2 linked regions of the Xenopus tropicalis genome follow. The protein of the gene in region 2 interacts with the protein of the main gene of each other region in a pairwise test. Links are inferred from orthologs where the notes say so. Each region holds a gene or a part of one and is shown on either strand. Other genes may lie near its edges. The genes, in order: sdsl and tubgcp4.

Region 1 (16,520 bases), on a different chromosome or scaffold from region 2:
ACAATCTATAACTTAAATGCTAACTTAAAGGAACAGTAACACCAAAAAATGAAAGAGCTTTAAAGTAATAAAAATAAAATGCACTGTTGCCCTGCACTGGTAAAACTGGTGTGTTTGCTACAGTAACACTACTATAATTTATATAATAAGCTGCTGTGTAGCCATGGGGGCAGCCATTCAAGCTGGAAAAAAGGAGAAAAGGCACAGGTTACATAGCAGATAACAGATAAGTTCTGTAGAATACAATAGTGTTTTATCTGTTATCTGCTATGTGCCTGTGCCTTTTCTCCTTTGAATGGCTGCCTCCATGGCTACATAGCAGCTTATTTATATAAATTATAGTAGACTTTCTGAAGTAAACACACAACTTTTACCAGTGCAGGGCAGCAGTACATTATATTTTAGTTACTTTTATACACTTTCATTTTTTGGTGTTACAGTTCCTTTAATAGTGAACCACTCCTTTAAGGCATCTTTAGCTCTGCAATAGCATATACATTTTTTCTGCTTTGTTAGAGAAGTTCCTTTCCACTATGCTGCAACTATATTGTAGAATAAAAAGGCTCCCATGTTGCCAATACCATGATCATTGCTTTCACGGAATCTGTACAGCACCTTTGATAGAAAGGGGGAGGGCTGGGGAAGGCTTTGACTCAATTGGCTGATGTAGAAGGCAAGGGGTGGATAAAACTGACATCTTTTTTTTTATGAAACTGCAAATGTTGCCACAAAACTGTGCCAAGCTAAGCAGTCCAATTATCCCTATTCTCCAGCTCTTGAGGAACTGTGACTGGTGGAGATCAGTGGTGGGAATAAATACCTAGAAGGACTTGCATGAAAAAAGACTAAGGGAAAGAAGGCAAGAGGAATACATGGAGGGAGAGCATTTAATACACACCCAAAAACATTTCCACAGCTCGAATGGCTTCTCTGTCATCAACAGTAATGGAGATAACTTTGTGCTCCCTTGTACACTCATAGGCTCTGTCACATACTGTCTTTGCGCCAAGACACTTGGCAACACTAAAAGAGACAGGCAAGAGACAGACACACACATTTATACATTAGTAGGTTGTTGCATTACAGGATATCAGTAAGAAAAGAATGACATTATAGTTTGGGTAATGTGCCAAACAATCTTCTTGTGATGTGTTAAGTGACCCAGTGTTCTTCATGGGCATGAGAAATAATCAGGAATGGATGCTGCATTAAAATTAATATCTCCCAAGATGCTCTGTGCATTTCCTGTCCTCTAGGCTCTTAGTCATGGTCCCTACGTGTTTTGTGTCCTCTGGGCATAAGGGCGTCTTGGGAGACGTTCATTTTAATGGAGCTTTAAATGAAGACGTTTTTTATTTTTACTTTTTGTGACCCTTGTGGATGCTTTGAGTGCCTATAAGCCGATGCTGTTTGTTATTTATTGTTACATATTGACATATTACATACAGGTATATCTAATGTGTAATTCAGAGATATTTTACAAGGGGGAATATATTTGCATGGTATGGTAGACAATGACTTCTAACCTGGTAATGTCTGGAAGGCTGATGGGTTTGCCTGCTTCAAGCGCTGCATTCAAACAGTGGGCACCTTTAGTCTCCATTGCAATTATGGGAATATCAGACCAGCCCACCTTCTTCATCCCTTCAGCCAGCCCCGCAAGTAGCCCGCCACCCCCTACAGAAACCACAAGTGCACCTGGCTTCTGAGAACCCAAAGAAGCCTTTAGTTCACACACAAGGCTGGCATGGCCTTCCCTGAAAATAAATAAATCAGTCAATCAGTGAAGAAGTGAAGAATTTCCCAGAATTACCAGTTAATAACCAGTTATTAACTACTGCAACAGTGCTGTTATGAGTTTTCAAGCTGAAACCTCTTGTCTTACCTGGAAAATAAGTCTCATTGCCTGTTTGGCAGTACACCTGTATTTTTTTGCAACTAAATCTTGCCTCCAAGCCAGAAATTCAAAAATAAGCACCTGCTTTGAGGCCACTGGGAGCAACATCCAAGGGGTTGGTGAGCAACATGTTGCTCATGAGCCACAGGTTGGGGATCACTGCTTTAAGGGATAATTTATCCACACATAGAAAACCAAACTAAATCAGTCTGAGTGATTGGCCACCTTTCTACCTGCTTCCTAAACACCATTCTGCCATGTTTTAGTGCTGCAGTTGAGGAGAGGGGATGGAGCCAGTAGAGGGAACTACTGGCTAAACTCTGAGTAGAGTTTGACTTTAAATCACTCACACCTTTGTGTGTATATAAATGGCCAGTGTTCATTACTTTGTGGTATTGTATCAGTCAGTATTTCTTAAAGTGTAATGGCTGGCTCATATTGGATGCTCTCTTACATATCTTAAGTGGACTGCTTGCTCCACCGGAAATGCAGGAAGCATTTACTTCTTCACAGAGCCTAATGCACAATTCTCCCTTCTTGTGCAATAAAATGTAAGTATGACACCCAATATGTTAGCCAAGGCATTAATTTCTACCCAGATGCAGTAACCCATAGCAACCAATAAAATGTTTTGTTGACCAGTAAATGCTACCTGTTGTTGTTACATGTGATGAGACTTGCAGCAAATGTCCACCTTTTATTATGTTACGCAAAAAAAGCTTTCTAAACAAATAATGGTGTTCCAGTAGTGTTACAGCTTTTCTGTACATGCAACATACAGGAATATTTCCATATGCTGGTAATGCTCAATAATTTTTATTCTAGTAAGTAAATTTCAAATGGCTGAGGCCTAAATAATGACTGTGGTAAACATGAGCAGCCTTGGTAAACCAAAAAAGGGCGATAAAAATGATCGCACGCTTTTTTGCGTTAAAAAACGCAAAATAATTTGCGCGCGATTCACCATAGTATTATCGCGTGCGAAAAATCGCCATTTTCGCATGGGTTATTTCTCGCACTAGTTTTACCGCATGCGTTAATTTCTGCGCTGAAAAGAATACGATCGCATGATTCACTATAACTTTTGCGCGCTAAATATCGCATTCGGCTATGCGAAAATTAACACCTACTACAGGCAGGCGAAAAATTATACAAAAGTACAGTAAATTATTTTTTGCAATAAAATATGGACTTACAGTGTTATTTATTCAAGTATGTGTTTCCCCTAGAGTGACGCAGCCGCCAGTTTGCAGCGAAATGTTCATTTTTAATACAGTAATTTTCTGCAAGTATTGGCGTGTATGGCTAACATGGCGTGCGTTCATTTGCGCGACTATTTATATTTGGCTACAAGTGATGAAATGCTTCGCCAGGCATGGATTCGCAGCGAATTTTTGGACGTGCGTTGAATTTTTTCGCGGCGGATTTTTTCATGCGTTTCGCAAAACAATCCGCCAATGGCAAAACGCATGTAGTCACAGCAACAATTTTTTTGCCCGCACAACATTTTTGCCGTTTCGTGGATCTTTCGAAAGATTTGCTAATTTTTCACTAAAGAAACCAGAACACATTTGCTCATCACTAGTGGCTACTATTTATAAGCGGAAGAAAGGACATCGAGCACACTTCGGACCACTGCCGGATCTTGGTGAGCATGCTGTTTCTCAGACTCTAAACTACACAAGAGATAGACTCTAAAACTTGAGCGGCAGGCTCGGGGTTTAAACACCCGGGCCTCATCTAACCACGTGGTACTTATAGTTTGTTAGTTTATTATTTTTTTCATTTATTTGTTTATTACTTATTTATATTGTTTCTGAGAAATTTTGTTTCGCTTTAGGGTTTCCCTTAGAGCGATCTTTTTTCTTTTCTTTATTATATACTATTTATAAGCATCTACTATTTATATGATACCATTTATATGCTACCATTTATATGTGGCTAATATTTATATACACCATTTATATGCGGCGACAATTTTTATACACTATTTCTAAGCTACCATTCATATGCGGCGACTATTCGCGGGCGTAATTTAGCACATGTACCAGCAAATACCGCATTGAAATAGTCTTCGCGAGTTAAATAACGCATGCAATATCGCGCGTAAAAAAGCGCAAGTATGCTTATAGTGAATCGTGCGAAAAATCGCCAAAATTAAGACGCGGTAAAAATTTTAGCGCACAATAAAAATAGCGCACATTTTATCGCCCTTTAGTGAATCAGGCCCATAGTGTCTAATTTTAATAAAGGTGAACACAGAACTCGTTCCTTACTCTTTGTTTGAAAGTGTTTGATCCTGCTTGCACCAATTCTATTTGTCTATCTAAAATAGGACCTAGAGTATGGGGGAAATAGCTGCAATAACCTTTTATTTGTTGTGCCAGTCCCTGCAGTCCCAGATATGAATGTACCTAGCAAAAGTAACACTAATACTATTTTCTCTATATATATGCTCACCAGACGAGAGGATGGTTAAACGGAGAGATATACACACTGCCAGGAGTTTCAGTCAGCTGGTGAGCATGTGCATCAGCATCGTCCCAGACCTGCAGTTGGCAGAGGAGAGAAAGTTAGTGATGGCACAAAGTTTCTAGAAGAATGGCTTGTGGTAGAGCAAGGTCTTGTAGTAGCTGGAAATCCTCTATAAATATGGAATTTATACTGTTTTGATGCCTGGGAAACATAAAATTGGGGTTCTGCTGTATATATAAATCTAAATATATATATAATATGTTTGAGTGTATGTATATATTGCTTCTTTCTGGAATATCAATTGGTTTTGTGCCATTTAATGTGAGTATACACCATGTGCCACTCTGCAATAGCTTTAAGAATCCTCAGTTGGTGGGCTGAAGGCTTTTGGAGGTGTGGATCTGTATTTCAGTAGAATAATAGGAACAGTGCAACCAGTGACCAGAGTACTGAAAACAAGAGAAGATCACAGGCACATTGGGGTTAAATGATTACCCATTTTGTGAGATAGTAGGAGGCAGATGTATCTTGGTATATTGGTATTGCACTTGTTTGAGACACAAAGCACTAAGCTGCTCCTATCAGCTAAGTATTATCTCCACGAATCATTTCACCTTAATTGCAGCCTCTTTGAGGTCTGTTTTGATACATTTTATGAGTCACTTTCTACGCTAATGTTTTGCTAAATGACATGTATTAAAATTCACCAAACTGTTTATACTCTGAGGTTTTGATAAAATGTTTTACTTAATGTCTGTAATTACACTTGACACAATAAATGTTTTGTTGTAGTCTATATTTAAATCTGTGTGTTATATGTTAATAGCTGGCTCCCAGAGCTGCTATATCAATAAGGCATTTTTGTAATCATTTGTGTAACTAAAACTTACCCAACATTGAAATCTTTTTAGAGCCTGATGGTCTGCTTCATACACATAAACTGAGGGGTAAATGCAAAGTGCAAAAGACAAGTGCAAAGCACCATATTTTGTACTTTGCAACTGTAACTTTGTGTCCATTATTCTAAGGACCACTAGCAAATGGACAGGCTCAGACCAGAGATTACACCTGCCATGGATTGACAAAAGTGTTCTCTATATGGGCCCAAAAGGGGTCAATCTTGCAATCTTTTCTACACTTGTATCTGTACCAATAGTAAATAAGCTCTGTGTACTGGCTCCTTTGTACCCCTTGGTCCCCCAGTATTCAAGAAGATTTTTTCTCTTGTTTAACCCACTAGTTGCCTAATATTTGCAAAAACATTCCTCCCACCATGAAAAGATGTTTTCAGGACCATTTCCATGTCAGCTATCACAGCTGTACAAAAACATTAGACACCAGTACATATTTATAAAAGGATGAAAATATAGCATTCGTCACATCATCTGTCTAGTTAAAGCAAGATATAATAATCCACTGGTATAAGTAGCCTGGAGAGTGGGATGAATGTGAAGGTAATAAAAGGGCCATTTGTATCATTATAGGATGCAAAAAGAATTATCCAGTAAATACTCTGAAATTTATTCCCACATCTGATTTACTTGTACAGATCTTTAGAATTTATCTTGATGAAAACAAAAGTTTTTTTACCATTTTATAAAACCGATCTCAGAATGTGTTACATAAGTATGTGACCAATTATTCAGTAGGATAGATAGGTAATAGTTTAACATGACCACACACACAGAGACCTAATTGCCACAACCTGATGGATAGGTTTATGGGCTGATCCAAAGGGTGACTAAGTAAAAGATTGTGGAGCACATACATGTGTTTTTTTCTCATTTGTCAGATGCTGCCAAATGGTTTTGTTGGGGCTGTTGATAAAATATACTGTAGTATCTGGCACCCAGTGATTGATAGTTCCTTCCCTTTTTTTTGTATCTACCTGAATATAGAATACTGGTTAAAAGGTTAGATGTGATTTATTAAGACAATAATTTATTTATTGACATTTTTTTGGCTTTTTTCAGTTCCTATTCAATGGCTTGAAGAGGCACACTCTTACAGGCATGGAGCCAGAAGACATAGAAGAATTGTCCCCAAAATCATGCCAGCAAATTATCTTCCCTCCCCTAGTTACTAACTACTATTCAGATACAGTACAACCCACTACAAGTCATGCTTCTGGAGAGTATTCATGGATGTACCATACTTAACAGAGTGGAGAAAGTATTGTTTTGCTAAAGACATGTCAAGTCTGTACTGTAGCCCTTCGACCAGAGGGGACCCTTAGTAATACCAAATATAAATACAGTAAGTAAAGTTTTAAGCAGGATCTGCGTGCATCTTTTTAAACCCTTGAAGAAAGAATGACTACATGAATGCATAAAAGGATAGTGATGAGGGGCCCTTGTTTAGGGGTACCTGAATGTAAGTCAAAACCAGCAGAAGCATTATTATGATGAGATTATTTTTTTTTTTTACCTTTCCAGTCACCACAACGTCAGCTCCCAGATCCTGCAGCTTCTGTACAATATCTGCTCCAGTGGTCTGTGGAACAACAATGGTGGCTGGCAGGGCCAATCTTCTGCAAGCATAAGCTGCTGCAAGCCCAGCATTACCCCCTGTGTGGGAATGAGAGAGAGAATGTACAGTATAAGGTAGGGCAGCAAAAGCACCAAAGCAAGGAAGCAAAGTAAATGCTGGAAGTGTATGTGGAGCACAAAAGAAAGACTCATAGATACAAACAGATTAAGATCAACAGACACCCAAATAAAGTAGCTTCATCAGTACCTGAGGAACAGACAAACCTCGTGCAGCCTTTCTTCGCAAGCTAAAAAACAGAGAGAAAAAGTTTAGTTTGCCACAGCTTTCAACAAGGCAAAGTTATGGTACAAATAGGTCATAAAAGGCACTGTTTGCCCATAGCTAAGATGTTTTTTAAACAGGTGACCAGTGCTACATGCTGATTGGTTGCTATGGGTTGCTTGGATTTAAAATAGGTCTTGGCATTTCAAGCACACAGAGGCTCAAACAGCCCCCCCACAGGCCCAACAAATAGTCACTGTCTATGGCATCTTACAGCAGCCCCTCTGGCATTTGCCAGAATCCACAGATTGCCAGCCTTGTTACAACTCCTGGGCAAACTTAGGGGCAGATTTATCAAAATTTGAGTTTATAAAAAAAAAAAAAAAATTCACTGCAGCAAAACTTTTCTTCTTGAACACTAGCTTATTTAAGAATAAAACATGCCAGGATATTCCTGCGCCCATTTTGTTTTTGGGTAGAATCACATTGATAAACTAGCAAAAATAAATATATAAAAAGCTGTTAGCAGTTCCCATTTATTTCTATTTAAGCTCAGTGGTTTTTCCTTGTAGTTTTTCTTAAATCGTTAAAAAAACACAAACTCAAATTTTGATAAATCGGCCCCTTAGTGCCTTTTTTTTTTTAAATAACCCCAAGTCCTAACAATATGTTAGTCAGAGCTTTGCTCTTCTTTTTCTACAGCATCATTCATTCTGCACTCTCCACATCTCTCTCTTGCTCTCTGTATCTAAGAACTTCTTATGCCATTGCACAAACTTCAGTTCAATACAAGAAAAATTTTACTGTAAGTATGGTTGGTTTCAAAGACTGCCTTTTTGCACCCATCTTTGTGGTACCCAAAAAACTTTAACTATAATGAAGCTCACACATCTGGTATGATTAAAATTAAGGTGGCCATACACAGGCAGATTTTAGCTGCCAAATGAGTGAATTCTCTCCCGATATGCCTACCTAACGTGGGCACCATAGGGCTAAACTATAAAATTACAACAACGGGAATAAGGGCCATTGGACAGAAGATCAAAGCATCATAGGATTAGGAAACTTCGGAAACATAGGAGAGAAATGTGTAATTCCCCAGTATGGCCCACACCCAAACCCGTAATGGTCAGCCAAATTTCAACTCTACCCTGCCTGAGCTAAGGGTAAACCTGCAACTCTGTCATTGATGAAGTTAAATGTCTACAGCATGTTTCTCCTATTTTGTGCACCTTTATAGCCTTAGCTGAAACAGAAATTACGAAAAGGAAAATTCAAAGTAAGCACAAATTATTGTTTGCATAATACACGGTCTGTGTACTGACACTATTTTTAGAAAGTTCAGAAATTTCTTCTGATAAACTTTTTCTATCGTTGACCTTACAAGAGATAATTTACCAGACTTTGATAGCCAGGATTATTTTTGTAGTAGTATTGTAGAGATACTGCTGAACTTTTAGGGTGGAGCATTAAGCTCAGTATATAAAATACAGCATTTGTTTTTTTGGGTTTAGTTCTCCTTTAATGTATATAGATAGACATCCATATCTCTCAGCTGAATAAGATAAATAGTACATTATGGGGCATGTAATACAGTGGGCAACATTTGCTCCAGGGGACTCATTTACTAAGTGGTAAAGTCCCTTCCAAAAAACGGCATCATTTGTCCAGTTTTTATATTACAAAATTACTATTACTGGGTCTGCTAGTAGTGCTATATATAAGCTGTGCTAGATCCTGGGTACAAAACATGCATTCATTTCTAAAGATACAAATGTTTATGGGCATCAAATTGGCTGGACATCTTTATTCATTTAGTCACCCTTCAGTTAATGACAGTAGCCTAAAATAAGCATGGCTAAAACTTGTCAGGCAGCACATAGACATGGGGCTACCAGCAGAATTGTAACTAAAGGTGGCCATACACGCACCGATATTATCGTACGAAACCTCGTTTCGTACGATAATCGGTGCGTGTATGGCATGTCAGCGAGCCGACCGATATCACAGGAAGCTGCTGATATCGGTCGACTCGCCGATCGGCCAGGTTAGAAAATTTTGATCGGGCGCCATAGAAGGCGCCTGACCAAAATTCTCCCTTCAGAGCTGAATCGGCAGAAGGAGGTAGAAATCCTATTGTTTCTACCTCCTTACCTGCCGATTCAGCCCTGAATGGTGTGTGGCGGATCTGACGATGTTTCGTGCGACCGACGGTCGTACGAAACATCGTGAGATCGCCACGTGTATGGCCAGCTTTAGCAACTGTTAACTCTACAAATAAAACAGACTTGACTGATTAAATCATAGAGATACCATTCAGTCAGCAAATATGCTAATTGATGCCGATGTTAGTTAATAGGAAAGCATAACAGGTATAGGACGGTTAGTATTTTCCAGAAAAGGTAGCAACCCTTTTGGCCCTTGGGGTGATCAGTGAAATCAGTGCAATGTTGCTGTCTTTGTAAAAGCAAATAGTATAATACACAGTCAATGTGCCAAACAGCTTTAAACATCACTATAACCATACAAGGCTACACAGTGGAAGTGCTAGGGCATTACCAGACTGGTTCATACTGCAATGGGTGGAATAGAGATACAAGACAAAACAAGACATGTTACAGTATATAAAATGAAATGATCCCATAGCCAAAACATCATTGTAAAAACTCTTTCTCAGCAATACAATGCTTATTTAAAACATCCAAAGAAATGGTTCTTCACTAAGTTTCAGAACTTGGCCAAACTAATATTACTTAGTAAGCCTTAAAGGGATTCTGCCATGATGTATATGGTGTCATTTATATTACTAAATTACACGGTGTACATTGCAAATAATTAATTCTATCATTTCAAATTTTATTCTTGAACCAAAAAATTGTATTTGTTTAGTTGTAATATTGGTGTGTAGGCAGCCATCTCAGTGCATTTTGTCTGATCGTGAGCTTTTAAAAAGTGCTGCACAACTGCTTTCAAATTAGCCACTATGTGGGACATGGGAGCATTTTTAGCAATGCAAGTGTCAGGGAGCTATTATCTGCTGATAACTGATTTCTGCTGATTGGCTGCGGGAGGTGGGGGCAGGAAGGGGAGATGACATTACTCCAACATGCAGTATAGCATAAAGAGAGTCTGAAGTTTATCAGAGCACAAGTCACATGACTGAGGGCACCTGGGAAACGAGAAGTTGTGCTCACCACTAAATTTTATACCATAAAGCAGGGGTGCGATGAGGCTGTGCCCACAAAATTCCAAACAGAAACAAATAGAAAGAAACATGAGGTCCTCTGCACTAACCCATTATCAATATACTGTATAACATTATCAATATATAACATGACATTTGACATAAACATGTCAAAATTAAATAAATCAGTTTGATCTTGTGAAAAATGGATTTCAATGCAGGATTCTGTTGGAGGAGCTATAATACCTAATGCATTTTGTAAAAGACTTTAATTGCTTACCTTGTACCCTGGGCTGGTGCCCCTGTTAAGAGAAAACAGCACCAGCCCGGGGTACCTGTAGGAAGCGCTTCCTCCTTCCTCTTTCTTCTGTGGCGAAATCCCTGGGCCGGCGCATGCGCAGTAGAGTGAAAAGTTGACTTTCTTGTTAAAGTTCTGGTTTTCACTCTACTGCACATGCAGAGCGCGCCAACGCGGAAGAAGGAAACACTCACTGCTACCCCAGGCTGGTGCTGTTCTCTCTTAACAGGGGCACCAGCCTGGGGTACAAGGTAAGCGATTTAAGTGACTTGGGGGTGCCTAACATTTTGGCACCCCCAAGTGACTTAGCCTTTCCTTGTCCTTTAAGGGAAATACGGCTAACAAAGGCCACTAAATAAAACACTGATTTTAGTAATCTAATTAACCCTCAAGGCTGTCAGTAAAACTACAATATAGGTTCTGGGGTACCCTAGCAACCAAAATGACATGCCCAAACTAGGATTAATATAATTTAATACAATTAATGTAAATTTGTATATATTTTTTCTTGTATTCATTTCAGTCTCCCCAACTCTTCCCTATACAGTACATATCCCCTTGGTATTTCTGTGCCAGTTCTGCCAGATATGGCAGCTGTTAATTCTAAAGAAAGCAAATTCTTCAGCACATCACCTACACGTTTCAAGGGTGCACTCACTTCCCCGGCTGCTTCCCAGCCAAACATTCAGTCATAGCTTTTGGTATTTGGAGAAGCACACCTCTATACTCTGGCAAATACCTTTAAGTCATGTATTTCAGCAGAAATGCAGCACTGTCGTTGCTGTTAATTCTAGCCACTCACCTTCTGACAATAGTGTCCAATCCCACGTATCTTGAATGACCCTGCGGGCTGAACATTTTCCAGCTTCATGAGAACTGTGGTCCCAGCCAATTTGGATAAAGCATGGCTCTCTTTCAGAGGGGTGACAATATGAAAAGGAGCTTGCTCTGTGAAATCCATCTCTTGAAGAAGAATGACCTGTTCATATACGGAATAGGGTATAAGCAGCTTTGACAAGAGTCATTCGACTGATATGTCAGTAGAGCTAAAGACGCTGCCCCCACAACATGTACAGATTGCTTTAGACATAAGATACCATAATGACTCCTAGTTGAGGCCACCATATTTTTTTCCTTGCAAGAGATGTTCTGGAGAACAAAACATGTTAGCTCATGTGTTTACTTATCTTCATAACATACTCTATACCCATACTCAGCTAATAAACTTATGAAAACAAGAATTATATTATTGGGTGCTCTATAAATAATATGTGCCCTCCAGCAAAGGGGGCCGAAACACCCAGTCACACAGAACACAGTACAAACCTGATGCCAGCAGAGCACCTTGCTCCTTTGTAGAGCTCAGTACTTAGGCCTTGACTGCATGCAGCCTGACATCCACACTGACCGCTTTGCCTCAGATAATCTTTAACCACTTTACTAATAACAGATCAAGGTCCCGAGGGAGTGCCTGTGGGGAGGAGAAATGTTTCAGGGAATGCTATAAGCTTTCTACTGCTGATAGGTCAAGTTTAAAAGGGTTTATCACTGCATTACGGGGACTGCATTTCTTTGTTCATTAAAATAATTCTGTTACTAACTTAATAACTTAAGTTATGATGTTTTTTCGATAAATTGTATAAAACTATCTTTTTTTTGCTCACAAGCCACCACCAGAGCTGTCACCTAGACTTATAATTTACTCCATTCCATTACCACCATCTACTGTATGCACTGATAATACCCTCATGCATGTTGTTTTCTTTCAGTTTGGATTACTGTAACATTTGACTACATGACTTACCTACTTTAAAGGAACAGTTCAGTGTAAAAATAAAAATGGGTAAATGGGGATTGCATAAAATAAAAAATGTTTCTAATATAGTTAGTTAGGCAAAAATGTAATCTAGAAAGGCTTGAATGAGCAGATGTCTAACAAAATAGCCAGAACACTACTTCCTCCTTTACAGCTCTCTAAGCTGTTAGCACACAGTAACCAATCAGTGACTTGAGAGGGGGCATATGGAACATGAACTATTCAGTAAGTTTGCTTGCGAATCTGACCTGCATGCTCACAAACTAACTGAACAGTTATGTCCCATGTGACCCCTCCTAAAGTCACTCACTGTCTAACAGCTTAGAGAGCTGAAAGCAGGAAGTAGTGTTCTGGCTATTATGCTAGACATCTGCCCACTCCAGCTTTTATAGATTACAGTTTCGCTGTCTTGGTACTTTAGAGTAGAAAGACATGTATTTTGGATTTGAAGGAATGTGTACTTTCCGAAAATATAAAGCTTTCTGGAGTTAAAGTACTTCTTTATAGCTTTATCCCACATAAAATGATATAAATGTGTTGATTTTGCAGGAGCAGAAATGACAGAAATGGTAGATCATATGGGGGTATCTTCACCTTGGGGCTCCTGAAAGCCACATACTTAGGTAAACCTATACATATTGGGCATAAAACTATTCAGTGGACCCCTGGCGTTCATATTTAGGGTGTTTTATCTTGGTACCTAATGTTATGTGGGAGATAAGATGCTGCAAAGTGTAAGCTTTGAAGTGATTTTTCAAAAATTTCAGTTTTTTTTTAGAAAAACCTATTGCAACTTGGTAGTTTGGAGTAGACAGACAGTTTTACCTATTCTGGATTCATCTGAATCTGTTCTTTCCAAAAATGTATCGTTTTCTAGGGTGAACCTATGATTGCTGTAATTTTTGGCAGCTTTTTTATGCAGCTTTCTGAAGCAGTGCTTTGGAAATTTGGTAGTGTACTGCTGGGAGTTTTTGAAAACAATATATTGTTTTCCTGGGTAAACTAAAAGTCCCCCTAAGGAACGGCCCCTAAAGTGAAAGATTTAAAAATGTTTAAAAGCTGTCTGGCAACAAAAGTTCTGACCAAATCAACTGGCAGTGAAAGGGTTAAAAGTGAACCTCACCTTTAATGCTCCAATACTTTCCACTCTATTTGTATTTTACAAATCAAGATAATAAGAACTTTGCATTAGGGATATTCTTACATTCCGGCTATGATGATCCCAGGGCTCTGAAAAATATTTATTTTACACATATTCCATCTGATTGAAATAAGGGATTTACGATTTCTTGGAGATGGTCCTAGTCTAGTGGGCCCTGGGCAAATGCCTCTTTGGCCCATTTATTAAAGCAGCTGCCCTGTCCATTTGCAGTCTGTGTACTAAAGTATCTGGTTGTCAGTCTTGGACAGCATTTCATACGGAATTACTTCTCAAATATTGCAAAGTAGTGGAGACCAGTAGCTGATTCATGTGTATGCCTGATGCCCTCCTGGCATGCTTCACACTACAGTAACTATTAGTAGCTCTGGCTCTGTATGGTGATCTCTCGTGCCATACTGTTAATGGAAATAATTTGCTCTAATTTTTTAAACACCCTACATTTCAATTAGATCCTCCTTGGCCTACTCCAGCACCCACATAATACTGCCATCTTCTTTATTGTAACTAGTGATGAGTGAATCTTTCCCATTTAGCTTCGACGAAAAATGCACGACAAAAATTTGTGAAATAGCAAAAAAATTGCGAAATGTGTCTATTATGTAACTTTTTTGACATACATGACTTTTTTAAAGTGTGCAACTTTTTTTGATGCAACAGTGACTTTTTACTCACTTGCCGAATCCATTCCTGGTGAAAAATTTCACTCATCATTAATTGTCACTAATGACTGTGTGAATGATATTTGGGGTTCTCAGAAATGTATTTATTATAAACTTTCTTAGAGGTCCTTGGCTCTCCATGTACAGAATATACTATATAAGTCTCCCCAGATTCCTTTTATGCAAGAAAGTGTTAAATTACATTTTGCTAAGTTGGCATCTATAACACTGTGCACATTGCATAACACATAGGAGAGCAGCACCCTGGTTGTTTGCCTGAGCTTGCACAGGATGTGTAACTAAATCAGCATGAGTCTGCACTATTTGTGCATGTATGTGTGACAATCTCCAGCCTGGAGACACATTCAGCCAGCTAGCCCTCATCAGGTGACCTAGCACTCTATTAATGGAACAGAACAGATACAAGCTGCGCGTGTATGTAAGGTATTCACTATTCCTGCTCTCAAGTCATAAACCAAGAACTAGAATCTGTACAGTGCAGTAAATGTGGGACTACAAACACAGAAATACAGACACATTAACACGAGTGAACCAAAGGTCATGCATCTGATAGCTTGTGGGCATCATACTATAGGATAGATAGATATATAGATAGATAGATAGATAGATAGATAGATAGATAGATGATAGATAGATAGATAGATAGATAGATAGATAGATAGATAGATAGAAAAGGGTGATAAACTCATACTGGGCTTATAAATTTTCTAATGCTATAGTATGCTTTTGTGCATTATGTTTAATTTGTGCTGTGTTGTTTTGTATATTTTATGCTAGTTGTAAATACAGTATACACTGTCTCCTGTATACTGCTAGGGGAGATCTCTGTGGGCATTCATGGGGAATACCCTGTACTTGTCTGAGGCTTCATTTGCCAATAATAATCAGTAACATATATCTGTTCAATCTCACTCCCCCCCCCATCATCATTAATCAATAAAGTAAGTTATGCCCAGTGAGAGGGAGGTCCTTAATATAACTATCATCTGAATCAGGGAGCGAGGACCCCATGAATGAGGTTGTAGCAAGTGGCACACTAGATGCAGTTAAAGAGTCAGACAGGGTAAGTAAACAGGAGCAATCTTGTATGGGATTAGAGGTCCCTAGGTAACACTGCCTAGTGCAAGGATCCCCCAACCTTTTATACCTGTGAGCCACATTCAAATGAAAAAAGTGTTTGGGAGAAACACAAGCATGAAAACTGTATCTAGGATGTAGCTGTAATTGGCTATTTGGTAGCCCCTATATGGACTGGCAGCCTGCAGAAGGCTGTGTTTGGTGTTACACTGGGTTTTAAGCAACAAAAACTTACCTCCAAGTCATGAATTCAAAACTAAGCACCTGCTTTGAGCAACAATCAAGGGGTTGGTCAGCAACATGTTCCTCACAAACCACTGGTTGGGGATCACTTGCCTAGTGTAAGGACCACAGCTGGAAAAACTATTGTTTCTGCCTGGGAGGCTTCCACTGGATTTTAGTATGTTAGGAGTCGCAGAGGAAAGGCCTTCACATTGCTTCAGTTTTCTGAAGTCACGCAAAATTGCCTGCAGGAGGAAACTTTGGAAAACTGAAGCGATGCAAAGGCCTTCTCACTGCTGATTCCTATTGTTGTTGGTGGAAAGGCATTTTGGAGCTGTTAGTTGCCCGCGATAGCAGAGATCTATAGTGAGATCTGTGGGACATCTCTGTGGGACATCAGCTTTACAGTTTGCAAAATGGAACACTAATGATAAATATGTTTTCAGCCATCAGATAAGTAGAAAAGGTTAAGGAAATGGGTATGAAAAGTGAACAGAAAAATAGCAATTGGTACATATAATAGTGGAAGTACAAGGGAGAGTAGAAGTGAGGAGGGGTGGTCAGAGGGTTAAGCAAAAAAGAAAGAAAAAGATGGGGAGCAAAAAGTAGGAGGTGACAATGGAAGGGTATAAGAAGGGAAAAACAGAAGAAATTGCAAATGAGAGCAGAAGGGGACAGGAGAGATGTAGAAGACTGGAAAAAATTGAAAGAGACAAAAGGGAGAACTAGAAGAGAAGGAAAAAATCCAAAGGAGAAGAGAAGAGCAAAGATAAGGGCAAAAGACAAAGTAGAAAGGGTAATTAACTGGAAAAGGGAGTGAAAAGTGGAAAATAGAAGATGTGTGCCACAGCCCTAAGGTGCAAGGATAAAGTATGTTAGAGACTGGAGTTATACCAGTACAAATACCAGATCTTGGAGTACAGACAGACTGCCAAGCCATTATATAAACTTCCTCCAA
Region 2 (16,520 bases):
TAAGCCATTCCAGTACCACAGTGTGATGTTTTTGTAAGGTATGCAATTGCAGGCTAAGGCCATATAGTTCTGGTATATCTGTCTCTGCATTAACATCAAAGCCAGTAAAAACCTCTGTTCTTGTGCAGGAAGGAGTGGTTTTCTCCAGAAACTGTGGTTAAAAATAGATCTTCATTTTTGTAATTTTTTAGTAGGGTTTAATGACAGCATTTAACATCTGCCTGTGCTACTATTTTATGCATTTAAAACTGTACTGACCATCTCTGCAGTACCTTGTACACTGAACACAGCAATACATATTCTTTATTTTTGTATAAAATATTATTAGTGGTATATCCTGCTAAATCTGTAAGCAGTCCTTCTGACAGGGAATACCTCCTTCCCCCAACAAGAACTAAGAATTATTATATTATATGTATCACCACTGACTTCACGTCTTAGCCACAGCAGAAGATACATGTGGAAAAATCCACTTGTGGGTATGAGCTCTTATTGGTTTGGCAATGACTGCCTCCTAACAGACACTGAGAGTCTGAGAAGGACCTTCAGGATGTCTGTAGATTGAGCTCTGAGCTGAAAGGAGTAGTGAGGAGATGTGTTTCCATCTATCCCTAGACTATATAAATAATCACAGATGGGGGCGCTGTAACTCTACCTTAGAAGTTTGGTACTTCTATTGAGGAGACACACGACTCACTGAAGCTCATGAGCAAAAAGCAGATATAACTTGTTTAAAATACATCATATAGCTGTTTGGAGGCAAAATCATGGAGTCTCTGGCAAATGATCAATGGTCACTATTTTATAAACCACACACAATTTGTCTGTTAAATATACCATAATCTGCTTTCTAGGTCACACACATGAAATTTCTTAGTTTAGCTTGTCACTAAAGTTATCCTGTATTTCCTCTCCAATGCCTGACTCAGCACCGCCCCGCCATTCACTTTAAGCTTGCATGTCACACTAATAGTAATATTCTTCATTAATACAGTGCCAGCATATTATATAACACTCTCCCATTATCCCAGTGGCCCTTGGAATATAAGATCCAGGTACAAACGCACTAGGTCTCATTTCTTCAGGAACTAACTGCCTAGCAGCTCCCATTTAAAGTACATTTTAGTGTTTTACCTTAAGATAACCGGAAGGTAACTCCCTATTTATAAGTCAGGACATTAAATGTTTAAATAATTGTGAATATTTACTATGATAAATCACCAGTCTCTTAAATCTATTGTAGTTTAGGTCCTCTCTGTGTGGGGAAACTTCCTTATACAAAGCAAAAAAAAAAAAAAGGCTGCAAAGGGGTCCAGTGATACAGTACTCATACAAACCCTCATTCACAAGGCAGGGGGCAGAGAATAACTAACTATGAAGGATGCTTGGGCTGCAAATGAGGGAGACAAGTGTTTCATCAGTTTAACAGAGTTACTGTACATCAAGCCAGAGGATGGCCTGAATTCCAGGCAATGGCAATGATCTATCTCTACAGGGTAATTCTGCTACTGAACACATTTACTGTGCTGATGTTACCCTAACATTTGGCAGAGGCTCACCTCGGCTACCGTGCTTCTGATTCGGTCAAGAACAGATTCAAAATCCACCAAACTGAAGAGAGGCTGCTGCTTCAGCCGATGGAGCTCTGCTGCAAATGTGTCTTCCTGGTTTTTTAAGATGGAACCTGTTGAGAACAGCTTTGGATGAATAGAGAAATGAGCAAGCGACCTGGAAATATTTAGTCTTGCATAAATGTTATATCTGTACACTACCAGCACTAGCATGTACATTTGCCCTGTAATGACTTACGTAACACATAACTGGCTCCTTTACAACTTTCATCCAAGGACTAGTTACATATATATATGTGCGATGTGCTATATAGGTTCTATGCTGCAAACTAGAAAGGGACATCTTGCTTGCCAAACTGGGAGATTTTATTTCCTAGGCCTATAGAAAAGACAGCTGAACACAATTTAAGGAAATAAAAACAGCCAGGCTCCGTATTGTCTCTCTTACCTGTCCTAGACATATTTGCATTTTGATTCTCAAACATCTGAACAGATTCACCCACAAACAGTATCTTCTCTGCAACCCTCACTGGAATATAGGATGGCAGCATTTCCGCCCTCAGTGAAAACTGTTTGAGGGATGGGGCCAACATGTTCTCTTCCTCTATGAGACGCTGCCAAAAGCAAACAGCATACATAGTAAAGTACAGCTTCTTATGGAGGCAGAATACATATAAAGGGATTTCTTTACTTACCGTAAAATCCTTTTCTCTCTAGTCCTATGGGGGACACAGGGCCTCCCTCCCAGAAAACAATGGGAGGTAGCTCCTTCTACTCAGCCAGTTATGTTACGAGTTAAGTTATCAGTTGGAATAGTTTGCTCGGTTCTTTGAAACAACTGGAGTATCTGTTGGTGGAAGGGGGGTTATATAGGGGGGAAGATCTTTGTTTTGAAGTGTCCTGCCTCCTGATGGGAGGGGATTTAACCCCATGGTCCCTGTGTCCCCCATAGGACTAGAGAGAAAAGGATTTTACGGTAAGTAAAGAAATCCCTTTTTCTCATACGTCCTGGGGGACACAGGGACCATGGGGACATACCAAAGACGTCCCTTGATAGGGTGGGAAAGAAAACAGAATAACTAATATAACTCTTACAGTACTACTGACTGCAAAACTTTGCGACCAAATGCCGCTTCTGCAGATGCAAAAGTATCAAGTCTGTAATGCTTAGTGAAAGTGTGAACCGAAGCCCAAGTTGCTGCTCTGCACAACTGCTCCGCAGATGCCATGTTTCTACAAGCCCATGAGGCACCCATTGCCCTAGTGGAGTGTGCCTTTATTCGAAATGGAGGAGGCTTCTGGAGGGAAATATATGCCCGACGGATTGCCTCCCTGATCCACCTGGCAATGGTGGCTTTGGAAGCTGGGAATCCCTTTCGGCTGCCTGACGGAATTACGAATAATGCATCCGATTTTCTAAATGAGGCTGTTCGTTCCACGTACGTGTGTAGGGCACGCACCACATCTATGTTGTGTAACTTCTCTTCCTTGGCATTCTTGGGTGTGCTACAAAAGGAAGGAATTACTATTTCCTCGTTCAAGTGAAAAGGGGAAACTACTTTGGGCAGAAAGGAAGGTCTGGTCCTTAAGATTGCTTTTTCCGTATGAAAGATTAAATAAGGAGAATTACAGGATAATGCTCCTATTTCCGACACCCTTCGTGCCGATGATATCGCCACTAGGAAAACCGTTTTCCAAGTGAGCCACTGCATTTCAATGATAGAAATCGGTTCAAAAGGGGAATTGGTCAATGCTACCAAAACCGTATTCAGATCCCAAGGAGGAACCGGAGACCGTATGGGAGGAACTACATGAGCCACTCCTTGTAGAAATACCCTTACATCTTCTTGTAATGCTAATCTTGATTGTAACAGAACCGATAAAGATGATACTTGCACTTTTAAGGAACTCAGACCCAGCCCTTTGTCTAAGCCTTCCTGAAGAAATTGTAGAACTACAGGAATGTCCGCTTTCTCATAGTCAATTTGTCGGGATGAGCACCAGTTAATGAATAACTTCCATATTCTGTGGTATGATTTAGAAGAAACGTTCTTCCTAGCTCTGATCATGGTTTGAGCCACTTCGGGTGAGAACCCTTTTCTAATTAAAATGGACTTTTCAACAGCCATGCCATCAAACAAAACATCTCTGGTTTGGAGTGCACAATTGGACCTTGATGTAGAAGGTCTACCCGACTGGGTAGTTTCAACGGTTGTTCGACTGACATTTCCTTCAGGTCCGAGAACCATGACCTTCTCGGCCAGCAGGGAGCTATTACGATAAATGTACCTCTTTCCCGCTTTATTCTCTTGAGTATACGAGGCAGCATAGCTATGGGAGGAAATACGTATGCCAATGTTGCTACCCATTTTGCTGTCAGAGCGTCGACTGCTGTCGCTAATGGATCTCTTGTCTTTGCCATGAATCTCTCTGTCTTCCGGTTGTGGCGCGATGCCATGAGGTCTATTTCTGGTTGACCCCAGACGGTCACTATGTACTCGAAGACTTCGGAGTTTAGTTCCCACTCGGTTGAATCTAACTGGTGGCGACTTAGGAAATCTGCTTCCCAATTTGCTACTCCTGGTATGTGTACCGCTGATATCTGATACACATGATTCTCCGCCCAGTTCAGGATTTTTCTTACTTCGCTTGAGGCTGTGGGACTTCTCGTCCCCCCTTGTCGATTGATATATGCCACTGCTGTGGCGTTGTCTGACTGAATTCGAATGTCTAGGTCTAGTAATTGTTTCTCCCAATGCAGTAGGGCATTGAACATTGCTCTGATTTCCAGTATGTTTATCGGCATTTTGGTTTCTGCTTCCAACCAGAGACCCTGCGCTGTCTGATTTCTGAATGTCGCTCCCCACCCCGAGAGACTTGCATCGGTGGTTATCACCTGCCACATTGGTTCCACAAACGACCGTCCTTGAGACAGGTGTGATTGCACTAACCACCAATTCAGGGAACTCATTGTCTGGTGTGATAGTTTGATTCTCTTGGAGAGTCGCTTGTGAGTTTTCCATGCTGATAGAATGTTCTTCTGTAGGTGTCTGAGATGGAATTGTGCAAATCTGACTGCCTCTGTAGAGGATACCATCATTCCCAACACTTTCATACAAAATCGGATGGATGGATTCCGTTCCGCCTTGAGTCTTCTGACCAATGATATCAGTTTCTGAATCTTGTCCTCCGGTAGAAACACCTTTCCTTGGTTCGTATCGAAGATGAATCCCAGAAAGGGCATCCTCTGGGTCGGTATTAATGAGGATTTGTGTCTGTTTATCGTCCAACCGAATTGTTGCAGCGTTTGTATCGATTGCTCTAGTTCGGTCGCTGCTTGACTTGATGATCTCGCCTTGAACAGTAGGTCGTCTAAGTATGGAGTTATACAAACTCCTTGGACTCGGAGGTGAGCTGCCATTACTGCCATTATTTTTGTAAATATGCGTGGTGCTGACGATAGTCCGAAGGGCAACACTTTGAATTGAAAGTGGTTGTTCTGAAAGGCAAAGCGAAGGTAGGCCTGATGAGCTGGAAAAATTGGGACATGAAGGTAAGCGTCCTTCATGTCCAGAGATGTGAGAAATTCCCCTGGTTCCATGGCCCGAATGACCGAACGTACGGATTCCATTTTGAATCGTCGGTAAATTATCCATTTGTTGAGAAGCTTGAGGTCTAGTACCGGGCGAAATGATCCATTCTTTTTGGGTACCACAAATAGGTTTGAGTAAAATCCTGTGAATCTCTGATCCGGGGGCACCGGAGCAATCACATCTGACTGAATCAGTTCCTCCACAATGGAAAGAAAGGCCGTTCTCTTTTGAGGGTCTTTCGGTACTCTGGACATGAAAAATCTTGGTGGGGGAGGGTGGTGGAATTCTAATTGGTATCCTATCTTGATGGTGTTGGCTACCCATGGGTCGTTTAGATGTTCGTGCCATCTGTGTGCGAAGTGTTTTAGTTTGCCGCCTACTGGGAGGTCCGATTGGGTTGATCTCGGCCAGTCATGCTGATGACTGTTTGTCGTTAGAGGGTTTGGCTGAGTTCTTTCTGGTCTGCCAGCTGTTCTTACTCTTGTAGGGATATCGTCCCCTAGAGGATGACTGTCGTGGTGGTGAAGATGTCTTGGAATGGCGAAATCCTTGTCCACGAAAATATCTAGGTTTCTTATTTGTGGTTGGATTTCCTCTGGTTTTAGGTTGTGGAAGTAGTGTGCTTTTTCCTCCCGTCGCTTGTGAAATTATTTTCTCTAGTTCCTCACCAAACAAACGCGAACCCTTAAATGGTAGGGATGTAAGGGACTTCTTGGAGCTTAAATCCGCCGACCAAAGACGCAGCCATAACACTCGGCGTGCTGCCACAGATATGGCTGACGAGCGAGCTACTGCTTTTAGGATATCCAGAGAGGCGTCACAAAGAAAGGAACTTGCCTCTTGAATCCGTGAAATGATGATTTCCATGTCTTCAAAAGGCATTTCATCTCTGTTTCCCGTTAAAAGGATGTCAGACCATGCCTCTAGGGCCCGTCCAACCCAGGCAGTTGCCAGGATGGGCCTGAATGCTGCACCTGTTGAAGTGAATATGGCTTTAAGAAAACCTTCCAGTTTCTTGTCTGCTGCGTCTTTAAATGCTGACGCGTCTGGTACTGGTAAGGCAGTATTCTTTGACAGACGTGACACAGGAGCATCCACCAGCGGTGGTGTGCTCTATTTTTCTATTATCCTAAAATGGATACAGTTTAGCAAATTTCTTAGTTATCTGTAATTTGTGCTCTGGAGCATTCCATTCCTCCTGGACTATGGCCTGGAGTTGCTCATGTATCGGAAAGGAAATGGAATGTTCTGTTGCCCTACGGAATAGGCCCTTTGGTTTCTTAGACGAAGGGGCTGATTCATCAATTTTTAGTACCTCTAGTACTGCCAAAATTAAGTCCTCCACCTTTCTGGAGTGATCAGAAGGACACGATGATTCCTCTCCTTCAGATTCAGATGGGGATAATTCCCCTTCGCTAAGAGGATCATCATCTGAATCTGAAGGAGAGACTATTGGAATGGTAGGCCCTGAGGGTGTAGTAGCCCTGCGTTTTACCGGCTTTCTGTTTTCAGGTGGGGAGCTCAATCTCTCTAGAATTTTATCTAGAGATGAGGCCAGCATTGGTATTCCCTGAAGGGAATTTGAAAGGGACACTGCCCATGCTGGTGTCTCAGAGGTTCCGGAAGTCCCAGAGCCTGATGGAGTAGGGGCCTCCTCTGGGCTATTTCCCACCACAGCCACTGATACAGGGTTTGTGTGTGGTGTTGGGGGGTCTGCGGTGGTTGCTGCAGAGCATGTTGTGCAAAGTGGCTCCTTTTGGCCTGTTTTAAGTTTATTTTTACATTTTGTACACGAGAAAAAGGTGATCTTAGAGCTCTGTTTCCCCCCCCTTGTAAAGAGTGAATCGCTCGTTCCCTCAGCCATTGTTCTTATTGCTGTCCCTCCCCTTGTGCTATTTCCCCTCCCGGTACCTGGTGATGGAAGGAGTACTTAGGAGGAAAGAGCTTAGCTGCTGAAGCGAGTGCTGTTCAAGAGGTGCGCAGGGTAGAAATGGCCGCCACTGGAGTGGTGCGTCTGCAGGGCGCGAAGAGAGAAATTGAGGGCGTAGCATGAGCGTTGGCGCCAAGTCACGGAGTGACGTCACTGGGTATTCGCGGGTTCAACCCGGAAGTTCTCTCTCCTTCGCGCGCTTACTGAGTTCCCCGGTGAGTAACCGGGCGGGTACACAGTTGTGCAGTGTGTGGGAGGGGAGCGAGGGTAGCGCTGAGGTGTCACCGGCACTCCGCCCCGCGCCCCAGTATCGCTGCCGTGTATGTGTTCCCCGTGTGGCGTGAGTCCCTGCCGCCGGGAACCAACCACCCATTCAGGGTTATGTTCCCTGGGCTGGCCATCACAGGCAGTGTGGTATGAGGGAGACTAGAGCGTAGCTCGCGCTCACCTCCACTGGTCTGCCTGACCAAGTGTTCGGTCTGGTATTGCGGTGATACCCCAGACCGTACAGGTCCCGCGGTGGGGGTTGACTCATTGAGCCCAGTACACTGGTTCAGGTCCTACCCCGTTTCTGGATCTATTCTCCAGTCGCTGAAGATTGAAATAATGTAGGGCCCCCTGGGGCCGTGTTGTCTACCTCCTGAGTTTGCGAGGACACATTAAAAACTGGAGTATCTGTTGGTGGAAGGGGGGTTATATAGGGGGGAAGATCTTTGTTTTGAAGTGTCCTGCCTCCTGATGGGAGGGGATTTAACCCCATGGTCCCTGTGTCCCCCAGGACGTATGAGAAAAATGCATTAAAGGGAATGGTCATTATCTCAGTACAGGTACAACACAGTTACAGGAATCTACAGGATACTTTTCCAATAGCATTAAAAATTGCATGCTAAGCTGTATTTACTGTGTAAAGTCTCACCAAGTCTTGCAGTTCTCGCAGCTGTTTTCCAGTCAGACCACCAATGCCCAGATCATCATCATCTTCTTCAGATGATGCAGCTAAATTAGATGATGGTCCTTGCCTAACAAAGAACTCTTCATACTGGTCCAGCAGAAGCCCATGAAGCATCCAAGCTGAAAGCTGCTTGTACATCACTCCATGACACACAGCAAGAATCCTAGGCAAGCACATGGTTAGTCTAGGTATTTTCATCCAGATAACGGTCGGGGAGGCCCGTCAGGGGTCCCCATACACAGGCAGATAAGCTGCTAAATCAGTCTGAAGGACCCAAATCAGCAGCTTAAATCTGCCCATATATGGTCTCCTTAACTAGATTTCTAAACCTGCCCCATAGATAATCAATCTGATACCTAATAGGGCATTGTTGTGGCATGGCCAATGTTGAGGTCACCTTAACTATCATTACAGATACTATAAACAGAACATCATTTCTCCAACTGCAGATTGAATTATATTACAATTTACACAAAGCAGCCACCCAGATTCCAGATCTCCTTACTGAGACAGGACTAAATGTTGGAACAACAGGACGACCACAAATCATGTTGTTTGAAAAAAGTGTAATTACCAGAAAATTAGTTTCTAGGGGTGACATTCAAACAATTACAAAAAAAACTGTCAATATCCCCTTAAGGTTTGTGACTGTGACTGCCATCAAGCATTCATTAGTGTTAATATACAATATAAAAATTGTTTCTTTAAAGGAGAACCAAACCTTAACTAAAAAAGTAGGCTAGCCCAAGGCAACCTCAGCCATTTAGCAGGGAAGATCTGTGCCTCTGTATATGCCCCAGTAGCTCCCCATCGTCTTTTCTGTGATCCACTGCACATGCTCTGTGCTGCTGTCACTTACTGAGCTTAGGGACTAACTCACAATATACTGCATACATATAATGTAAATGTCACAATCTATGACACGCACATAATTTTCTGCTTAATAATTTGAGACGACCCTAAGCTTAGCATTTCAACAGCTGAACATGTGCAGTGTCACTGACACTTCTAACAGATTCTAGTACGGTGACCCCCTGTGTCAACAAGTACTGGATCATTACTACTACAGAGATGTTGAACCTTTAGGCTGATTCAATAAGTTTAGTATATAAAATATGGCATTTCTAACTATATTAATTTTTAAGGTTTAGTTCTACTTAAACCTTACATACATGCCAAGACTGATTCCAGCACTGATGGGTAAAAGGGGGACCTAACCGAATAATGGAAAGAAAATATACATATAAGATTTCATACTTTTCTAATGCGCTGCGTACAGGGGGCAGTCCTCCACAGCTGTGCTTGTACACAGTCTCCAGTATCTGGCAGCCATGAATCTGGGAAGAAAACACAGTGATGTCACTTATTTGTAAACTCATTTTACCAGTATTTACTTGTCAACACAAAAGTATCCCCTGATTTCAAAAGACTCTTTTCCTATACTTATTTACAGGTACTGACGTGAAATATCCTCTCTGTAAATTTTTGAGCCATGTTGCCACAAAAGCAGCTGTGAGTGGAGTTACTCCAAATATCTATACATGTATGTCTGTGTATATATGTATATGGAAATGAAAAATTAAAATGTGCAGGTATGGGATCTGTTATCTGTTATACAGAAATTTCTGAATTAAGGGAAGGATACACAAGGGTTATGGTTCCAACACAAGTGTTTTTTATTAGCAGTGTAAGTACATTCTGAAGTGAATTAAGGGAAGGCCATCTCCCATAGCATCAGTTTTAATTGTGAAAACATTATTTCCTTTTTTTCCTCTGTAATAACAAAACAGTAGCTTGTACATGATCCCCACTAGGATATAATTAATCCTTTTCTAAGGCAAAACAATCCTATTGGGTTTATTTAATGTTTAAATGTTTTTTGTAAAACATGGCTATCTATATTACAGAAAGATCCCTTATCCTGAAAACCCCATGTCCGGAGCATTCTGGATAACAGGTCCCATACCTGTATTAGAATGTGTTACGGTAGAATGGCTACAAAGTCATGGCCATAATGATGAGAATGGAGAAGGGCAACGAGTTATGCAGAAAAAAACCATCAGAAAATTTAAATGATGAAATGTGGATCAAGAACCACAAAACCTAGAACAGATTCTTATAAAAGTCTTTTTACTAGCAACATATATTGCAGTTTTTTTTTCACCAGCGTGAAAATGCTCCATATGAAGCAGCTAAGCAGGCAGTCACTGACATCCATGTCACCGTGTTACACATGGTCCAAAAGCGTTTAAAGGCGTAGTTCACCTTTACATTAACTTTTAGTATGTTAACCTAAAGGTCTTTATTTTTATTTTTTGTATAGAAGTATTTGCCTTTTACTTCAGATAGATTTCGAATGGGGGTCACTGACCCAGCAGCCAAAAAAATATTTTATTGTTATTTTTTTACACCTTATCTTTCTATTCAGGTCCTTTCCTATTTATATTGCAATCTGTCATTCAAACTACTGCCTGGTTGCTAGGGTATTTAACACCCTAACAACCACATAGGTACTGAAATCTCAAACCAGAGAGTTGAACAAGAAGCTAAATAATTAAAAAACCACAAATAAAAAATGAAGACCAACTGCAAATTGCATCAGAATAGCACTATCTATATCATAGTACAAGTTAATATTAAGGTGAACAACCCCTTTAAGTGTGCACATTTGGGCCCAAATCTGCCCTGTGTGCGCAGTGACAGGTGGCTGCTATGAAAGCAAACGCCGTCAGCATAGAAGGTTTTCTATACCAGCAGATGAAATGACAAGTTGTGTGTTTTCATATCAGAGAATTACAAAGCCCACTGAGACTTTATTAGAGATAATAAGTGACAACGAGATGATAAACAGAGAAGTAAGAGTGTTTATAGTGTAACATTAACCGAAGCTAAGCTAAGGTACTGCACTTCCAGGCCTCCGGCAAAACAAGGCAGCATTACTATGGAGCTGTGTAGGTCCTCATGAATTGCCCAGGAAACTGCAGAGAATAAGACTGACCTTCTGTTTTCAAATCAGTAGTAAAAGACATGACATTCAACTTGTGGGGTTCTTTCTAAATGAACTTGGCATATAAAAATGTTCTTGTCTTTTCTTGTAACATCAAGAGATGTCAGACGGCAGAGAAATGTTAGATAATGTGAAAGCGGAATCAAAGTTTAAAGGTGCCCATGAGATAGCTGTACAGTGCAGAGTCTGTAGTCTTTTTAAGGGGAAGCTATACCTTAAATAAAAGTATCTCTTTTGTTTATTTTCACGAAACAATGTAATGGAACACGGGTTATAAGGTGCATAGCAATTACCTTCTCTGCATATCTGTATAGAAATGAGTGAAATTTTCCAAATAGCTTGCCTCAGCTGAGTTTAACAAAAAACATATAGACAATCATTTCACCAGCACTATCTCTGTTGTCATTCAAGAGGAAAATTGCCATGGATCAAAAAATTCCAGCTTGAACACAAATATACACAGTACACAGATAATTCAACACAATTCTGACAGCTAGGGTGGTAGGCTCCCGAGATGCCTTCAAAAACGTCTTCTTTTGTTTCCTATAGAACACCCCCGCAAGCTGCACCAATCACTCAAGTCTCCAATTCTCCAAGTCCTGACTAATTCTCTGTCCACCCACACTTCCAACATTTATTATGCTTTAAATACTCAAAGCACACAACCAGTAAACTGTAGAAATGAATATAAACAGCTAAATAAAGTTTTGCTCAACGAGTGTAACAAATTCAGAGTTCTCTTGACCAGAAGCAGTACTTGTCACGTCATATTACAATGCCCCATAAGACCTTCATAGGGTATGTTTTATTTTCTCCTTCTGTGCAATAAAATAAATCCCAGTCTACCGACTAATGAGCAGCTAGCAGAAACTAATGAACAATATCATGCTCATTTAGGAAACTTGCAACTTGACTAATTAGCTTGATAAGCTATGAGACCTTTAAAGAGAAGGAAGCCTGAGGATCTCAGTCTGTTGCCACCAAACATGTTTATGTGCCCACAAATACCTTGCAAGGCAAAGAGACTTTAGGACTTTTTTCTTAAATATATATATATATATATATATATATATATATATACAGCGCAAAACATGTTACAGCACTACATTAGCTAAAAAGCTAAAACAATGTTTTTGACAGAGCTGTTTATTGTGTATGAAATTACTCCATTTAACACATTTGAACACAAGAAATAACCATAAGAGAACCATAAGTAATGCATTACCTTTTGGCTCTTGATCTGTTCCACCACTACCATGACTGATGGAAACAGAAGGTGAAACTGTAAAGGAAAAAAAGATCTTTAAATCAAAATATTATTGCAGCAGTATGATATACTGTAGATTCTTTGAAGAAAGACAGAAAATGTATTTGTACCAAATGTTACCTTATTCATGAAAAATAAGACTTGCAGGTACCAAGTGCCAGAGGTTTAGTAAGATAAGCCAAGACTAAAACAATATATTGCACTGACACACTTACCTGGTCCAGGGAATAATTAATGTGAGATATGGAAAGATGTGGATCCGCCAGAAACTGCAGAAAAGTAAAGTAACATAAAATGTTAATCTGTGGGTACATTTATATTAACACTGGCCCTACCCAGCTGCACTATACTGATAAATTACTCACTGGTGTCTACATTCCACAAGTCAATCAGAATGTTTAGTGTAGAGTTTGTTTGCTGTTTTTATTTTTATTTCCAGGCCACTGACTTTGTTTCCAAATGATCCAGAAGTTAATTGTGGTTCATGGGAACATGACATTTTTCATATAAACCTTTTTCACAAGCAGAAGTGACACAGCTAGTTTACTTTGGCCATTGCCTACAATTTACTGGTTCTATGGATGAGCCATTAGTGTTGTTCACCAGTGAATCCTCACTCACAATAATGAAGTGAAATATACAAATAAATAAGTCTGTCAAAAAAATTCTAATAAATTATTTTTTTTAAAAAAGGAGGCAATAAAAGGAATGATAAACCAGTTAAAAAGAGTGCACTCAGGCATAGTCTTAATGCAGTGATCCCCAACCAGTGGTTCGTGAGCAACATGTTGCTCCCCAACCCCTTGGATATTGCTCCCAGGGGCCTCAAAGCAGGTGCTTATTTTTGAATTTCTGGATAGGAGGCAAGCTTTAATTGCATAAAAACCAGTGTAATTGCCAAACAGAGCCTTCTGTAGGCTTCCAGTCAACACAGGGGCTATCAAATAGTCCATTATAGCTCTCATTGGCACCTCCAGGAACATTTTTTATGCGTGTTGCTCTCCATAACCTTTTCCATTTGAATGTGGCTCACGGTTATAAAAGGTTGGTGATCCCTGTCTTAATGGAAAATATGCCCATTTCACGGCCAACTGGTGGATAGACTGCATATAGTGCAAGTGACATAAAATCACATATTTACAAAATATTATTAACATGCACATAATTAAACAAAACCCATGCTACTAGAATAGGATATGGATCAGTCCTAATCACCTCAGCAGCATCACTCAATATGGGGTGACCTTATATTGAGTAATGCTGCTGAGGTGATATGGACTGATTATTTTCCATTAAGACTATGTCTGAATACCCTCTTTTTAACTGGGTCTCTTTTCTTGTTGGTAGTGGGTATTTATGTGCTAACTCAGTGTGTACTGACAACTACTTGGTGGTCAGTATGATGGAGTGCTATCAGTTATGGCACCATTTGCGCCAGCATAAGGAGTGCAGTTCCTATAAGTTTTTATAAAGCACCCTGACCCGCTCTCATTGACACACAACTAAATTGTTTCTTTCCAGAAAAAGATGAATGATTTCAATATGATTATATCTAAGGGCATGTGTAACCACACAATATATCATATGTCAAGAAGGGCCCCCGGGACAGTAGTAAATTGGTGTTGTGTAGAATGCCGCTCAGGCACTGAGGCCAACGAGTAAGTAGGGCTTGTTAGAATATAGTCCAAGGCTCAGTGCGGCTGCACTTACCAGTTTTATGTAACACTCAGCACAGGCGAATTGGTTAACACGCCATCTCTATGACTTACTATGTAACAGATTAATGCAGATTGAAAATATAGAGCACAGTTATTATACATATTTTTTCCTTAATCAGAGGCTGATCACACTGGATCAGATAAGGTGGCATATCGATCTGATGCCTCTTACTGTGGTCTTCAACATTTGCAATACAAAAACAAAAATGCTGCCCTACTTCTTTGGAAAAGGATGCTTATATACCTCCTGCTCCAGATCTAATAAGGCCTGTCTGTAAGGTTGAAGTATTGAATCAAGGCCTCTGCAAAACGCTCGCAGGTAAATGCCATGCAGGCCGACCTGTCCTTGTTGTGAGGGATGGTGATCCTGAAAAAAAAGAAAACAAACAAATCTTACAATTAAATAAAAATATATCAATGTTCATTGCAAACCTTCCATTATTATTATTAATTATCAGCCAGAATTAACAAAAAACCTTTTTCGTCACAAACCCAAAGGAGAGCTGAGGGGGCTGGGCTTCCCTTATATGCTTAGCTACTTCAATGCTAACTGACCTTATATCATCCTCCTCCTTCACTCTTGTAACACCCAGCCTTTGCACCTCTCTGGAATCAGCCAAATGGTTTTAGCCCCAAATTACTGTACCTAGAGAGAAACTTTGTCCGTAGCCTTTCTATGAATGTGCTCATAGCTCAATCCACCTGTGGTCAGTCACATTTGGCCTGGAGTAATAATTCCATAAGACTGTACAGTTATGGGACCTATTATCCAGAATGCTCGGGACCTGGGGTTTTCAGGATAAGGGATCTTTCCATAGTTTGGATCCCCATACCTTAAGTCTGCTAAAAATAATGTAAATATTTAATAAACCCAATAGAATTGTTTTGCCTCCAATAAAGCATTACCGTATATACTCGCATATAAGCCGAGTTTTTCAGCACCAAAAATGTGCTAAAAAAAGTCACCCTCGGCTTATACTCGTGTATATGGATTTGTCATTCGTTGCGCACGCACCCCCCCCCCCCCCCCCCCATAAACTATTAATCAAAACGAATATTGTGAAAGAACATTAGGCGTTTGTCAGAAAGTCTGATTTTAACCCAATTACCATGAGATTTTGGATACCAAACTTGGCCATGTACAGACAGATGAGTTCAAATGTGATCTTTCCCAGACAGGATTTTCAAACCTGCCTGATAGTTATCTGGTCAGATTTCTGCAACGTATCACATTATGGTTTCTTTCCTTTACTCCCAATACCCTTTAGTAGGTTCTTTAAAAAGGACATTCAATTTAAATCAGTTATGCTAATTGTATTATACCATCCCTATGAATATTAACATGTTGTTTCATTACTTTTTTGGACTCAGATCATTCAGATCATTACAAACAGTAACAGGTATCCTAGAAGGTTCAATGCAACATGTTGAAATGTGCAGCTAATTGTTAATATAGCTTGCAGGCTCACAAGCTACATGAGAACACCAGGTGGATCACTAAGGAAATTTCTGACCACAGATCCCTCCACCAAGAGTACGAAATGAAATGGACATTTAGTGATTCCAACAGTAACACTTGTAAATAGTAGCTCATTTTCACTTGTACCTGTTGCTGCACATGCCCTGTGTACTGTTCAATAAATTCTGTGAAGCGAATATAATCTGTCCCCAGCTTGCACAGCCGGTTCAGCACGTTGGTTTCACCGGGATGGAGAAATGGTACATCCTGCACCACCTGAAACAATAAGTCAAAACTCAAACAAAATAATGAGAATATGACATTTTTCCTAATGAAATAAGTCATTCTAGGCAACTACCCAAAACATATACTTTATCAATTTTCAGCCCTTTGTAGTGCTGGTTGTAACACTTGATACACTGTAAGGTGGCCATACATGGGCAGATTGCAGCTGCTGATTCGGGCCCCTCAGATCGGTTCGACAGCTTATCTGACCATGTATGGGCACCCCTGAGGGGCCTATCTGAACAATATCTGGCGTAAAATTGTCCATATCTCGATCGGGCAGGTTAGATTTTCCATTGGATTGAGGACCGCATTATCTCGTTGATATGGTCCTTTCTCCAATGGCGCCTTTGCCCACCATTTTAATTAGACTGTTTGGCCCTGGGAATTTACCCTATATAGCCCACCATAGGTGGGAAGAAGATCCATTCATTTGGCAACCTCTCCAAACAAGCGGATCACAACATGTATGGCCACCTTTACAGAAGCCAGCTGATTAACAGATGTTTGCAAGGCATTGTGGGAAAGGAATTATATCCAGTGAAGAACCCGCAAATTCAGAAGGGGCTGAAAAAATGGGTCGAGTTCCCTTGTGCTATTGGAAGCAGCATCTGTCTGTACAATGCATATTACAAATAGACTTTATAGGCATAATGACTACATCCCAAATAATCAGTTTAGCTTAAGGCATTGCAGACTTGGATCTGAGGTCTTGGATTCAATTCCAACCAAGCCACC

What was found.
Region 1: the proteins of tubgcp4 (region 2) and sdsl interact in a two-hybrid assay, tested with the Homo sapiens proteins (2 studies listed by BioGRID and IntAct). The two-hybrid records come from large-scale screens. The link is inferred for Xenopus tropicalis from reciprocal best matches to the Homo sapiens genes TUBGCP4 and SDSL.

What each region holds. Positions count from the first base shown.
Region 1 is NC_030677.2:146,173,608-146,190,127, forward strand, and holds the start of sdsl (serine dehydratase-like), read right to left. Parts: upstream 11,997-16,520; 5' UTR 11,932-11,996; intron 11,585-11,931; coding exon of another isoform or gene 11,567-11,584; coding exon 11,408-11,566; intron 7,149-11,407; coding exon 7,109-7,148; intron 6,940-7,108; coding exon 6,800-6,939; intron 4,447-6,799; coding exon 4,358-4,446; intron 1,758-4,357; coding exon 1,527-1,757; intron 1,024-1,526; coding exon 899-1,023; intron 1-898. UniProt on the Homo sapiens protein: Catalyzes the pyridoxal-phosphate-dependent dehydrative deamination of L-threonine and L-serine to ammonia and alpha-ketobutyrate and pyruvate, respectively. Also exhibits racemase activity towards L-glutamate and D-glutamate.
Region 2 is NC_030679.2:107,034,177-107,050,696, reverse strand, and holds part of tubgcp4 (gamma-tubulin complex component 4), read right to left. Parts: intron 15,774-16,520; coding exon 15,645-15,773; intron 14,406-15,644; coding exon 14,283-14,405; intron 12,590-14,282; coding exon 12,536-12,589; intron 12,336-12,535; coding exon 12,279-12,335; intron 9,384-12,278; coding exon 9,304-9,383; intron 8,210-9,303; coding exon 8,011-8,209; intron 2,186-8,010; coding exon 2,020-2,185; intron 1,685-2,019; coding exon 1,560-1,684; intron 1-1,559. UniProt on the Homo sapiens protein: Component of the gamma-tubulin ring complex (gTuRC) which mediates microtubule nucleation.